2 linked regions of the Cricetulus griseus genome follow. The protein of the gene in region 2 purifies or fractionates together with the protein of the main gene of each other region. This does not show direct contact. Links are inferred from orthologs where the notes say so. Each region holds a gene or a part of one and is shown on either strand. Other genes may lie near its edges.

The links.
Region 1: the proteins of Fam120a (region 2) and Rbm45 purify together in Homo sapiens (co-immunoprecipitation; 3 studies listed by BioGRID and IntAct, with this or other methods). This does not show direct contact. The link is inferred for Cricetulus griseus from reciprocal best matches to the Homo sapiens genes FAM120A and RBM45.

The regions. Positions count from the first base shown.
Region 1 is NC_048599.1:98,653,372-98,660,742, forward strand, and holds part of Rbm45 (RNA-binding protein 45), read right to left. Parts: intron 6,853-7,371; coding exon 6,730-6,852; intron 5,897-6,729; coding exon 5,711-5,896; intron 4,283-5,710; coding exon 4,153-4,282; intron 4,001-4,152; coding exon 3,913-4,000; intron 3,721-3,912; coding exon 3,557-3,720; intron 1,843-3,556; coding exon 1,650-1,842; 3' UTR 1,644-1,649; intron 1-1,643. UniProt on the Homo sapiens protein: RNA-binding protein with binding specificity for poly(C). May play an important role in neural development.
Region 2 is NC_048596.1:268,761,824-268,769,765, forward strand, and holds the start of Fam120a (constitutive coactivator of PPAR-gamma-like protein 1), read right to left. Parts: upstream 4,398-7,942; 5' UTR 4,358-4,397; coding exon 3,884-4,357; intron 1-3,883. UniProt on the Homo sapiens protein: Component of the oxidative stress-induced survival signaling. May regulate the activation of SRC family protein kinases. May act as a scaffolding protein enabling SRC family protein kinases to phosphorylate and activate PI3-kinase.

The sequences.
Region 1 (7,371 bases), on a different chromosome or scaffold from region 2:
ATCTCTGCCCTGACTATGTATCAAAATTCCATAATGGGAAAGGGACATATTTACACTTTGATTGCTAGCCATGCTGAAAACTGTGCAGTTTCTTTAATTAGGAAGCCAGAGGAATGCACAGCACTATGAAGGTGAAGCTGCCATATTTTAAAGCGAGCTGGTAGGGAGGTAGTTGTGCACCATCAAGCTTTTACTGACCACTGGATGAGATGACATCTGAAAGGCTCTACTAAATCCATAAATATGAGATTTTGTTCACATTTACAAAGCCTTTCTTTCATTTTATCAGGAATTCTGCTGTCTCTGTACCTTACAAGAAACCTAGCAAAAAACCATGCTTCCAAAAAGTGAATGGATCTATGCAGATTTAAGAATCAGAGGTGGATCTAGTCCAAACCTTCTGCTTCATGCTCATTCACACTCTCTCCCATGCTTCCCCATGGATTCACATTACCCTCAGTCAGTATTTCTGCTCCAGTCTCCTGAGTGCTGAGATTATAAGCCAATAATTCCCTCTAAAATGTAAATTATCATTAGAAAAGGCTCAACCACGAGAGTACTTTGCACATTTTTCTGTACTAGGAAGTTAATATTACTACCCCTTGAAAGGGCAAAGATCCCCTGAACAAAAGCAGTAATTGTCAACCTATAAGCTAAAATATTTAGACACAGGGGTAAGTGTAATTTTTGCAGAATACTTTAAAGGACTGTTCACTTAAACAGAGTTAAATTAATAACAATTAGTTGTTAATTCTCTTTCACTGGTTTAGAGCTAAACTGCCAACTGTTTAGTGTAATGGGTGTGGATTCTGTCATTAAATAAAACATTTAAAAGCATTTTTAAAGTAGGATTATTTCTATGGGCCCAGAGGGCATTTCCCCTGTCACATGACTCCTAAAAAGGAGGAACAAATGACTTCCTTTGCTTTACAAAAGAAGGGTCTACAGTGGCCAGACCTACAGGATTAAATCTGACAGTTACTAGCTCCTAGTAGCAGTCAGAATTGGATACACCTGACATAGAGCAAGGCTGGGAGCATGATGAGTGTAGGAAACAGGAAATGGATTGTCCCTAAAACTCAGAATTCATTAGAGTAAAAAAATCTAAAGATGATGTATCCCTTTAATTCATAGAGAAACCCACCAAAGACATAGAAGATTGAGTTGAGTTCAGAAAGACACCAATATTTAGGTTTAAAAGTTCCAAAAATATATATTATTTCACACTGTTTTTCATTAGTAAGAAGTCGGAGATTACTTTTTAAAGGCACATTTTATTATTTATGTGTATGGATTTAGGTGTCTGTCTGTGGGTATGTAGACATGACAGAATGTGCTTAGAGTTCAGAAGAGGCATTGGATTGCTCTAGAGCTTTAGGTACATACAGGTGGTTACGGGAAGCCTGACATATGTCCTCTGGAAGAGCAGCAAGCCCATAGCTGCTGCGCCATCTCCCCAGTCCCGAGTTTAAACAAATTTTTTAAATTAAAAACAAACAAACAAAAAAACAAAAAAACAACCTGGCTTTCCTAAGGTTTAAGCCAACAAGGTTGTAACTAGAGTCCCCCAAGGAAAGCTCACAAGTAAAGTACTTACAGACATTCCTGTTATACTCCTTCGCTAGTGGGGAAGACACACTTACCGAGACTCAGTAAGTTCTCTGCCTCTTTTTGGGTTCTTCTCGTGGCGAGTCTGCCAGCATGACTTTCAGTCGGACTCCATTCAGAATTTTCCCATGCAGGGTTGAGATTGCATCGTTGGCGCTCATTCTATCTGCATACTTGACGTAGCCCACATTTTTTCCTGACACAAGGTAAACTTCTATCAGGTTACCAAAACGACTGGAACAAAGTAAAAAAAACAAAGAAAGCATCAGAGACAGATGGATGCTCTCAGTACATTCTAAACACGGGTCTAGATTCTTTCCCAATGCCTGTCTATGGCCAACATCTAACTGCTTGCCAGGTACTGCGAAACAGCTCCTTCAGCTATTCTCTTAGCTCTCCAGGCCTCCTTCCTCACCAACCGCATCTTTATCTGTTCCTCCCTCTAACAATAGTCTCACCTCACCTCCCAAGTAAGAATGAACTTAGCTTACAGGACAGTCACTGGCTTCTCCAGCTTTGGACACCCCCCCCCCCCCACACACACAATCTCTAAGTCTGCTTCCAAACAATCTCTTTTTATATTCCTCTGGCAGGAAAACAAACAAAACCTCCAAAACTCAAACTACACTCTGAAAGGTTCAGGCATTATTCTGGCCTGCCCCTGTTACCTGGTGGAATCCACTCAGGCAATACCCTGGTCAGCCCAAGGTTCCATGGGAAAGAAGTCTGCACGCAGGTGCAGAGGACCCCTTTAAAAGATAAGCCCCTGCCCCTTTACGCTCTCTCTGTCTGTCTCTCTCTCTGTGTGCTCTCCCGTCTCTGTTTCCCCGCTCTGTCTCTCTATGGCGACCGGCCATGGCGGTCAGCCATTTACCCCTGTTCCTCTTCTTAGTCTCCCCATTCGGGCCTTATAATAAACTTATAGTCTTAAGTCTCATGTCTCAGAAATTTCTCTTTTCTTCTTTTTAAACAAAACAATAACACACCCCAACCTTCTCCTCTGGCAAAACTAGGTTTATCCTGCAGGTCCTATCAAAACCTTGCTTAAAAGAGAAATCTCAGAATTTCTGTGGTACCACTGCTGCTCTGTATACTTAATGTCTTGTTAATGTAATAAACAGTTTTGTTTATATCATACTTTAGCACTCCAGCCCAGTGGCTGCCTAGCACAGAGAAGTAGCTCAAGAGCAAAATAAAACAAAACCTTTAGCTAAATTAATCAGTTATATAAAGGCCAGCATACTATCACCACACGCCTGATATTCTGAGTGGATATTTAACATGTTTCTAACTTGCTTAACTCATTAATATTCTTAGTAGGCAAAAGGAAAATGTCAAAACAAAAACAAAAACCAAAACCCCAAAACAAAAAAAACCAAAAAACAAAACAAACAAAAACCAGGTAGGGTTAAAAAAAAAAAAAAAAAAAGCTAGGGTAGTCATAAAAAGTTATATTAAAATAAAAAATAGGTAAAATTTTTTCCTCCTCTTTCCTTTATATTATCCCCTATAGCCAAGTGATTTGCTCTATTTGACATAATCCTCAGGATCTAACCGAGTGCCAGGCAAATGTAAGGCATTTAGTAAACTGTTGGACTGTATTACGACATGAAGGAAATGGAATGTGAAGACAGGTTTATGTAAATGGATCTACTCCTAAGAGACAAGTGATTTGTCATTCCACACCTGCAGCTTTTAAAAACCATCCTGCATGTCTTATGTCTCAAAACACAAAAGCAAACACAACAACAAACCTGGGAAATTCTGTGTAGAGGTTAGGATATGTGCCTGACAAGGGAAATGACCATAAATTGAAAAGATCAATAAGGAGTCTTGCAAACCTCAGAACAGGTCATCTCTCAGTGGCAGGATCATGAGGATGGCGGTTCCTTGCTTAAGTGCATTGTTTACAGCTACCAAGGTGTAGCTTTGTAGAAGTGAATCTTACCAGAATATATCCTCCAACACGTCTAATGGTAATGGATGAGGGTTAAACACGATAAAAAGTCTTTCTTTCACAGGCGTTTCGGGAGGGGCTTTCTTTTTGCAGGATGGAAGTACAACATCTGTCTGGATTTGAGGCAACTGTGACCCAGAACTTCCTCCAAATTGCTGTGGAAGAGTTAGGCACAAAGGGAGAGAGATAAGATTGTTCTTCAGGGACTTGGAGCCAACAGCTGAAAGTGTGTCCCAGCACCCATGTGGTCTTTTACAACAGCTATGAAAATGTTCTTTCTTCAGTAATCAACAAATGCCGTATTATTTGTTTCCTGTATTACAGAGGTCACACTTTTACCTACTTACCAGAAACTGCTGCTGCTGACTTGGGTTACTCCACACCATTGATGCGAGCTGGGACGCCACCATCTGTGTGGCCATTTTTCTGATGAGACTGGAAACAACAATCGACAACTTACAGAAAATTAGAAATATTCAGCATCTTAATAGTAGTTTGTTGGAAATGACTTGCTCACCTGAGGTTAACTGTTTATTTTTATTCTTCAAGCCACAGCTTGGCTAGGACATTCCTGGAATGGTACTTACTCTGCCGAATTACTTCCGTCATCCAGGAAGGAAACACCTATCCGATTCCCAGGGGGGTACTGGAATCCATGCAATTTGTATTTTGCATAAACAGCAGATGCTACATTAAAATACTGAACCACACCATGACCTATACAGAAATGGAAAAGGCAGTAGATGGAGGTGTCTTTAAGGCCTGAGTTATAATGTACTTGAAGGCAAAAAATACTGAACTTTGGTTATTATCACACAACTAGCAAATACAAAATCAAAGAGCAGAGAACAAAGCTCTGTTAAGTACATACACAACATTATTTGTAGGCAGTGAAGTGTAAGTCAAATCTTGGTAAAACAGAAACATAGTACTTTATGAAAATGTAGTATCAGCATATATTCCATCTAATGAATTGAATTTTAAGATTCCCCCCCCCATCCCTTTTTCTTAGCGGGATCTCACTATATAGACCAAGCCATTGGCCTTTAACTTGCAATTCCACTACCTCTGCGTCCCAGTGAGGACTGGGACTACAGGCACTCACCACCAGGCCCAGCTTAAATTTTCTTACAGAACATCAATATACACAAAAACTGAAACTCTTAATTCTTTGAAATTGGGAGTTTTCCCTACTATACTGTATACTCAGTAGTTGGAAGAGCGGAGGAGGTGGTACATAGGAAAAACAGCAGGATGGTGACAGGGTCTTAGGCTGCAAGTTGCCCATTTCACATTCCTTTGTTAAGATTCCAGCTCTGGGGATAGCTTTCAATTAAAGAGGCGGCCCTGAGGGGTGGGGAGGTTTTATCTTTGAGCCTAGGAGCCTGTGACACAACCAGAAGGTTTTCATAACCCACTTTGGGGAAAAACACAAAATCATATTCTTGTGTAAATCAAATTGTATGTACAGATTACTTTTTATTATCAACTTGACACAACATAGAGTCACCTGGGGAGGGGGAACCTCAGCTAAGGTACTGCCTGGCTCAGAATACTTACTGACATGCCAGTGGGGAATGTCTTGGTTGTAACTAATACACATTGCTTCTACTGCAAATCTGAGAATGCACAGAGATGCAGAGCACTTAAAAGGCAAGACAGTTTAAGAAAAAGACTTGCAGATGAATGAGCAAGAAACGGCAAGCATTTTATAATTTTGCTAGCATTAATCCAAAGGGAAAAAACAGACCCTAGCCCGAGGCACTGTTGTTGTACAATGCGATATAGAGTCCTTTATTTTGTGAGTTATTTTTAGGTGAATGGCATTTATAAGGAATGTATTTATTTATACATTCTTGGGAATTTATTTATTAAGGTATCTTTGGATTTTAAATATAAGGTAGGAAAAAAGGAACAGGAGAGGGTAATAGGTAGCAATGAGCTTAAAGTACATGATATACCTGAACAAAATGGCATTGTAAAAATAATCACTGTACAAGCAACATGTTTGTTATCAAAAGAATTAAAAAAACTAGAAAACATAAAATATAAACTTCCTGCAACATAAACAGTATAAGGATGTGTCATGGGTAAAAACTACTTTAATAAAACACAGTAAACTTAACAGCAAAACAATTATTTTACCATAATTCGAATAAGGATCTCGCTGAACCTCACAATACTCCAGTCCTGGGACTATGTCAAAAATGCTGAAGAGCTGTTCTTCCGTGAAGGGGACTCTTGAGACAACTGACAGGCGTTTAGAGATAGCTTCCTGACTTCTGCTGTCACTCTTGTCAAAACTTGAAAATTCAGATTGTTGTTCCCCAACTATATACATACATACATACACACACACACACACACACACACACAAAAGTAAATCATACATTAAAAATTCATGTAAACATTTTGTAAAGGATATTTAAAATGTACTATACTGAACAAAGACACTGTATTTTGTTGTATTCTTTTTAGAAATACATTTTTAATTTATCTCTGAGAATTTCATACATGTATCCAATGTGTTTTGATCACATCTATCGCCCCTACTTTGCAGTACTGTAGTAGTCTACAAGCATAAAGAAGCAATGACAAGAAAACACCTTCACCCACTCCTTACTAAACTTCAACACAGAACTACAGAAATGTCTAGTTAAATACCACAGGAAGGAGTTGAGTATATAAAACTGTAAAACATGGCAGGAATTTTATCTGAAAAGCTAAGCCAATGACATCCAGGCACCTTGATTTCATCATTTCCCCTCACCCTTTTCTAGCATCTACTTTTGCTATTCTCCTCTCTGTAAACCAAACTTTAAGGTAGCATACTGAAGGGATATTTGTGTAAAAAATTTATGCTTTTGGTTGGCTGCACAAAAGCAGAATTCACACACATGCAAAGGTAGTAGACACACAGGATAGTTTGTAGATAATGTGCAGCTAGCCAGAGACATCTATACTGGAAATAAGTTGAACAAAATAAGGGTTAAGTATTAAGGATATTAGAAGTACTGACCAACTTCCCAGGAAAAAACAAAACAAATCTTGCATGTAAGATTTTCATTCATTAGGAAAGATTTTTCAAGTTGCTGACAAAAAATTAAATTGGATCACATATACTTACCATGCTGCTAATGTAAAGATAAAGGCGGTCTACTCACCGAAGGGAAACAGATTTACTCTCGGTTCATGCCCCAAAGCCTCTTGCCTCATGCTACTGTAATAATCTTGTTCTGGGGACTCAGGTACTTTATTTTTAGGTTCAGCCAAGAGTGCTCTGAAACCTGAAAATGAGAAGCCATGAATTTTCAAGTTTCATAGCAAATTTAACATATTTGGTTTTGAGGGTCTGACCTGGTTTCAGAAATATAACTATACAAAACAGCCTCTACATGGTGACCATTTTCATCAGACCTACTTCTTTGTTTCATGGTAAAGGACAAATAAATAAAATAAAATATATAAATGAGAACAGAAAAACAAACCAAGAACCCCCAAGTAAAGATCAACTAATACAGAAATGAAAGGTCAGCCATGCTGTGCCATCCTCCCAAAAGATGGTATTACCTATTTTCCCAGTTTCCTTAGGATCAAAACTCCACTGGGCATCTTCACATTTAGCCTATTACCAACCTGCTTCCTTTATATGTGCTTAGCATGTTTTCTTGCAAGCTAACTTCTCTGCCTGTTTTTAAGTTACATCTTCAGTTAATCACGGAAGCTCTGTAACCAGTCCCCTTGTTCTAGATCAAGAGTTCATACTTAGGGGTCTAAGGATTAGCTTCAGAAAGTGGAAGAGGGCG
Region 2 (7,942 bases):
ATCTTCCTCAAGTACTTTCTACCTTTGTGAGAAAGGGTTTCTCACTGAACATGGCGCTTACTGGCCAGCAAGCCCTAGGGATCTTCCCATGTCCACTGCGCAGCACTGGGGTTACAGCTGCACACTGCCCCCATGTCCACGCTGCACACCAGGGTTACAGCTGCACACTGTCATGCTCACCTTCTTCTATGGCTGCTATGGTCCTACATCAGATTCTCCTGTTTGTGCAGCAGGCATTACCAACTGAGCCACCTATTACTTGGGGTTTTTTGTTTTGTTTTTTTCCAAGACAGAGTCTTATGGAGCCTAGGCTAGTCTCTAACTGCTATTCAGCTGCAGTTAGCCCCGAACTTCTTATCCTCCTGCTTTTACCTCCCAAATACTGAGGCCAGAGGTGTATGCCACTATGTCCAGTTTATACAGTGCTGGCCATGGACTCCTGGACTCCACACACGAGGCAATGCTCTACCCACTGGTTATATTCTCAGAGCAAATGCTAGTGCTTATGAGAATAAAGTTTCATTAAGAAAAATACCCATTAGTGGGATTTGCTAGAACATGTACACTTATTAAGAAACTGCCACTAGAGAAAAGGCTCAGTGATGAACACTGGCTGCTCTTCCAGAGGACCCAGTTCAATTCCCAGCAACCACATAGTGGTTCACAACCTTCTGTAATTTCAATTCCAGAAAATCCAATGCCCTAACCTCTGCAGATACCAGGCACAAAAGATGTGTACAGACATACATGCAGGCAGAACACCCATACACACACACACACACACACACACACACACACACAACAAACAGTTAAACAGAGAACAGGAAAGGTAATTTTTATGACTCAAAAACATCCTTTTTAAAACATGCACCATACATTATTACTTTTTTAAAAATTATTTTTAGAGTATTGATGTGTATGAATGTTTTGCCTGCTTGTATGTCTGCGCACTGCATTCACACCTGGTGCCTGTGGAACTCAGAAGAGGCTTCTGATCCTCTGGAACTGGAGTTGTAGATAGTTGGGAACCACTATGAGGATGCTGGGAATCAAATCCAGGTCCCCTGTAAGAACAAGTGCTCTTAACAGCTAAGCCATCTGCCAGCCCCTCAAAGTCATCCTCATAGAATAAATACTGCAGTACCCTCAGGGATACCAAGTCCACGGGATTGTTTTCTTGGTTAAAAATAGCTCCCAGAATTCCGCCTGCTTTCTGCAGTTTCACATCTTCTCTCTGGTGTCACTTTTTGCTATTAATGGTGCTCCTGCCTCCAGCAGACTTTCTTCTTCAACCTCTCTCTCCTCAAATGGAGTTAAGGATATGGACAACTGGGGTTGCTACAGCTATATCTGGAAAGGCTGGAGCAGGCTGAGCGAGAGCACAAAGGTCCCGGATCCTTCAGGCAGGAAAGACAACACTATTCTCCTGTCATTGTACCCAAGGTTCTTGACATCTTGCTTGGTTGCTAAGACATTTCTAAAAGCTCAATCTTGTAGGCATTTTTCAAAAAGGTGAGGTTGCTAAGAAGACCACAGGTTCTCACCCTGAAGCCCATGCGCTAGCCTCAAACTCAGGATCCTCCTGCCTCAACTTGCCAAGTACTGTGCGACAGGCATGCCCCACCAAGCACATCTAGATTGTCTCCAGTCTAGCTTCACACACTACATTGATCAAAATCCCAAGTACCTACTAGGTATGGGAGGCATTCACAAGGGCCCAAAGATGTTACAATTAGACAGATATGGTGTCCTTTAAATCTCAGCCTCAGGAGGCAGAGGCAGTGGCAAGTGGACCTCTGTGAGTTCGAGGCATAGAACTCTCTACATAGAGAGTTACAGGCAGGTCAAGACTATAAAGTGAGATCCTGCCTTTAAAAAAAAAATTACACTTTAGAAGAATCAAACATTTCTTGCAAAAATGGCAAAAGCACACACAAGCATTTGCACACACACAGAGATTCTAATCTGAATATTCGATGTTTTCTTGAATGTTGGCTGACTAAAGATACAGCCCAGTGCTGTTAGCAAAAGCAGATAATAAAGCTCACTGTGTCTTAAATGTCACTTCCCATCACCAAACAGCATTAAGCCAGGACCTTTTCAGGCTGTCCACCAGAGGTGAATCAGAGAGGAAGGGCTCCACTTTCCCCTCCCAAGAGCCCCAGGCTACAGAGAAAAAGTGAGAGGCACACACACAGCCTCTCATACTAACTAGCTGAGAAATGACACGCCGTGTATCTGCCACCCTCCTGGGCCAATCACCACTCTTCCATCTGCCTCCACCCACAGACTTAAACACAAGTTCACCAATTGCAACAGGACCCTGGGTGGGACTTCCGCAATCAGTTTAGGTTTAACTACCACCATCTCATCACTGCCAGCAGGGATGACCAGGAAGAGGGAAACAGTCTAAAACTTTCAACTCAAGCTCAGTTTCCAAACAAAAGAACAAGTTGGAAGACAGTGACAAGTGTAAAAACTCAAAACAGCCTCATCCCCCTTGCCCCTGAAAATAAGTGTTTTAAAGAAAACATGAAAATGCAAGCTATCCAGACTTTTGAGGATCAGCTAGGTGCTCAGCTTTCAGTCAAGTGCTGGGCCCTTAAGTTCTCCTCTGGCCCAATTTTGGCTGCTGAGCCTTCTGCCAAAGGGACAGACAGCAGAAGGCTGACAATGTGCAGCTCTCCTTACCCACCCATCAGGGCCCACTGAAGGTCACTGAACGCTTCCTGTGCAGCAGAAAAACAGCTCTTGAAAGCTGGTGCCTATGCCAAACGACCCCCAAAATTCTTCCTGATTCTGAACTAGTACACTCAGACCAGAAACACAGAATTGAACCACAGAACTAACAGGGACCCATCTCAACAATACACTGAAATCTAACACCAAAATTTTACCATGGGCAGTTTCTCCAAACATTTCATTTCCAAAGGCAGAGGAGTGGGGGCATCTACTCTGAGAATCAGAAAGCAGCAAGAGCCTCTACACAAAGTTCACCTCCCACAGCTTTGGAGACAATCTATTTTGAGCTGCTTGTCCCTAAGGCCCTGGCGATCCACTGTCACTGTTTATTCTACAGACTTCCACGACAAACCTGTTGCTGGGAAAGAGCGGGTTAATTTCGACTGATGCATACAAATTAAGTCTAAGACCAGCGGGTAGCCTGCCAGCCCCCAAAAGGAGGGGAAGAGACTGAGGATGTTGGGGATGACACCACCAACCCCACTTGGGTCTGTCCCCCAGCCTCAAGTGTCTCATACACAAGTCTACTGGTACACAGCAGACCAAAGAGAAAGTGCAGAGGGATGGCTGTGGGCGGACTTCAACCACACCGGGCCTAAAGGGCCCGCCATCCATCTTGCTCCAGGCCCCCTCTGCGGAGCTCGAGTCGAGCCTGAGCATGGTGACACCCTGTGTCCCGAGAGGGCCCCTGAGAGATACTGAGGCCTGCTCCCCTGGCCTTCCACAGGCAGGGGCACCCAAGACTTATCCTGGGTCAGACTGGGCTTCCCGGAACTAGTCCAGCCCTGACACTGGCCCAAAAGGACCCCACAGGCCCAACTCAAACCCAAGCCCGAAGTGACCCGAGGCCAAGCCTTGAACCCTGGCCCAAGGGACCCCGGGCCCAATTCTGACCCTGGCCCAAGGGACCTCAGACTCAACTCCGACCCCTACCCAATCAACTCCAGGCCCAGCCCAAACACAAGCACCAAGAGGCCAGTAGCTCAACCCTGACCCCTGCCCAAGTGACCCCAGACCCCAACCCTGACCCCAGCCCGAAGGGATTCCAGTCTAAGGGGCACCAGGCACGACCCTGACTCGGGCCCAAAGGGACCCCAGGTCCACCCCTGAGGGACCCCGGGCCCGCCGACCCCAGCCGCACCTTGACGTGGAAGCGGATGAGCGCCAGGCGGATGCAGTGGGCCATGCAGACCGGTGGCAGGAACCAGACCTTGGGCGGTGGCGTGCCCTTGTTCTGGACATGGCTGACGATCTGCTGCGCCGTCTGGCGCTCGTTGCCCTGCCGCTTGACCCACTCGTGCAACCGGGCCTTCTCGAGCGCGCCGTTGAAGAAGACGAAGAGCTCGATGTTGCCGCCGAAGCAGGCCTTGGCCAGAGCCGCCAGGTAGCCGAGCATGTGGTTCCACTGGCCGCCGCTCACCCAGTCGGTATAGAAGCCACCGTACAGGCGGTGCAGGCAGTTGTCGGCATCCACCAGCAGGCGCAGCGGGGTCTGCGGGGGCCGCTGCCGCCCGCCGCCCACCAGACTGCCCCGGGCCAGCTTCTGCAGCTCCACCGGCACCACGGCGCTCGGACAGTGCTTCTCGATGTAGTCCTGGAAGCCCTGCACGCCCATGGCTGCGGCGGCGGCGGCGGCGGCGGCAGCGGCGGCGGCGGCGGGCGCGCGCGGGCGGCGGCGGCGGCGGCGGGGCCGGCGGCGGCGGGGCGGGGGGCGGCGGGGCCGTGGCGCGGCCGGCGGGCGCGGGCAGCCTCAGGGCGGGCTGGGGCTGGCCGGGGCGCGCTCACGGCCACCTCGGCCGCCATGTGCTGCCACCTCCCAGGGCCATGTCTGGGGAGGGACCTGCGCCGCCGCCGCGCTGCGAGGCCGAGGCCGAGGCTGGGCCGGGCGGGGCGGCGCTGACGTCGGGCCCGCCCGCGCGGACGCGGAAGGCGGAAGAGGCGGCGCCGGGCCGCGGCCGGGCCCGGGGCGGCGGCGGGCGGAGGAAGAGGAGGAGGCGGAGGAGGAGGAAGAGGAGGGGCTGGTGGCGCAGGCGCAGGCCTCGCCCGGAGGCCACGGGCCTCGGAGGCCGGCCCCGCCCAGCGCGCGGCTGCGAGCTCGGGAGGCGTGGCCGGCGGCCCGCGCTCCTCCTCCACCGCGTGGTGGGAGCCGCGGGGCGAAGAAGCCGGGAGCCTGGCACCGCGAGCCGCTGAGGAGGACGGGGGCGACAAGATGGCGTCGCTCCCGGGACAAGGCCGTGACTCGACGGCCGCGCGTCAGAGCCCGGCTGAGGAGACGACTCTCCGAGAGCCGCAAGCCCGGCGGCGTGGCGCCGCCCTCCGGAGACGGGCGGACGTGCGCTGCCCCGGGGCTGCCTGAGGAGGCCGCCAGGATCCCGCTGAACCCCGGCGGCGGCGGCGGCGGCGGCGGTACGTAGGCTCTGCTGGGAGCAAGCGCTCTGAAAGAGACGTCTGTCCCAGCGCTCCCGCGCGGCTCGCCTGGTACAGTGCCAGCCGGCAGGCACGCAGCCCCGGGCCCGACCCCTGTGTGCAGCGCGGGCCTTAATCCCCGTATTCCGGAAGAAGTGGAGGCCGGAGGATCAGAAGCCCAAGGTCGTCTGCGTCCGGTTGGAAATCATCAGCCCGGGCGGCAAGAGACCCTGTCTCCAAAACCAAGTTTAAAGGAGCGTGTTTGCTTACCTGCGCTCTTCATCTGGGCTTCCTCTGGGCGCGCCGGTGCTGGAGCCGGGGGCACGCAGAGCTCCTGAGCACCAAGTCCATGCAGACCCAAAGCCCCCGTCGGTCTCCGAGAAAAGGCAAACGGAGTTCTATAGTTTTCCTTTTTTTAAGAATATTTCTATTCCTTGGCAGCTTCGTCCATGTCTTACAATGCATCGTGATCATAACACCTCATTCTTAATCTCAAGCCCAGGCCCCTGTGACGTAGATAAAACGCTCTTGGTGCCTTGATGGAATTTTAAAACCCGATAAGTTATGCCACTTATGTATAAAGTTAGAGATGAGGACAGGATCACGTGTTATTTGGAAATGGGACTTGCACTTAAAACCTCGCTAAAGAATAACACCCCCAAAATAGCCAAATTTTTTTGGAATTCATAGTATACAAGATTGAGCATGAGTCTCCGTCACTTGTATTTTCAAGAACAAGATTCCACATATTTTCATGCAATTGTTTAGGTTTGTGTTTATTTTTGTTGAGGTTTCTTGTTTGCTGGTCTGTTTCTGCAGAGCTGGGGGGGGGGGAACCAACTCAGGGCTCGATAGCCCTTTGCCATTGCTGACTCCCCATGCGGTTTTTATTTCTTTTAAACATTCGTATTTAAAAAGAGAGAGAGAGAGAGAAACCCTTTTGTGCTAGTAGTCATAATTCTGGAAATAAATGTACTTTTCATCTTAAAACAGGAACATCAAGGTTCTCGAGGTGGACCACCGATTCTGTGTCATCTTCACTTTGGTCCTTCCAAAAACCACTTTGTCCGTGAGAACCTTGGCTTTCACTGACCTTCAGGCTAAGACAGATGCTAAATACTGGATTTATACTCACTTCCTACTCCTGTGGTTAATGATGGGGGAAATGTTTGGCTAACAACAGTGCAAATAAAACTCAGGCGTTGAGTAATATTTAAATTCTCTAAATACCAAGGTAAAAGTAAGCCCTATTGAAAAATAAAACTTTTTTTTAAAGATTTTGTTTATTTTTTATGTATACAACATTCTGCTTCCATGTATATCTGCACACCAGAAGAGGGCACCAGATCTCATAATGGATGGTTGCGAGCCACCATGCGGTTGCTGGGAATTGAACTCAGGACCTCTGAAAGAGCAGCCAATGCTCTTAACCTCTGAGCCATCTCTCCAGCCCAAAAAATAAAACTTTTTATCTGCCTGGGAATACAATATGATTAGGGGATTTTTTCTTCATTTAGTCTTTGGGTTGTATTAAATTTTTCATGAAGAGATTACCAAGCTATTGAGAAAAAAAAAAAAACTGAAAAATTAAAATGTTAAAAACTGCCTAACCATAGGCTTCACAAGAATTACCAAATAAAAGTAAGATTACTGATAGTGGTAGGGGGCACAGATCCTTAATCCCAGCATTCAGGATGCAAAGGCAGGTGAAGCTTTGTGGACTCAAAGCTAGTCTGTTCCAGGACAGCCAGTGCTACATAGAGACCCTGTCTCAAAAAAAAAAAGAAAGAAAAAAATTATGATTACTGAATTAAAACGAAAGCCAACCAGTGTGTAAAATTTACCAAGCCCTCAGGAGAAATGCTTGCTTTTAGCTCTTTTCCATTTTAACTTGTTTCTGGCCAGTTAATTCATCTCTGTTTAAAGCAGGAAAATATTGCCCATTTTTGGATTGGGAGTTTTGTGTTGGATTTGGGGGGTTTTCTTTAGACAGTTTCACTCATAGCCTGAGGTAACTGTAATTCACTATGAAGTCCAGCCAGCCTCAATTTACAGCAATCCCCCTGACTGAGTTCTAGGATTTCAGGTGTGAGACACAATGCCTGACAAAAATACTGGCAATAACAGGTGAGTTTTTCTTCAGGTGGTGGAGACCTCTTTCCTACCCATGTAGTCGATAGCCAAAGCTGGAAATCCAGGCCACAGCTAAGTCGAGACTCTGTGACCATGAAGAGACGCAGTTGTTCCTGCTTGGGATTTGAACCTGTGATGTGTGCCTAGACCTGATGTGTTCATTGGTTGTTACTTCAGAGTCCCCCCCCAGAGCACAGGCTTTTTCTGCAGTTAGGGCTTTTCTTGTTGGAGTTTCAGGTACTCTGGGATTAGGGACCATTTTCTTCTCAGGTGGATTAAAAATGTTGTTTGTTCTCAACACAGCTGTGAATTCATTTTCCCTTTGAACTATTTTAAAAATACATTTTAAAGTTTTAAGTTACAAGCCAGTGGGAAAGTAAAACTGGATTCTGTGAAATCTAAATTTGCAAGTGTCTTAGTTAGGCTTTGTCTTGTTGTGATGAAACACCATGACCAAAAGCAACGTGGGTTAGAGAGAGTTTATTTTGCTTACACTTCAGTTTCACAGTTCTTCATGAAGGGAAGTCAGGGCAAGAACTCGACAGCCGGAACCTGGAAGCAGGAACTGACACAGTCTGTGGAGGATCACTGCTTACTGACTTGTTCCCCATGGCTTGCTCGACCTGCTTTCTTATACATCCCAGCACCACCAGCCCAGAGA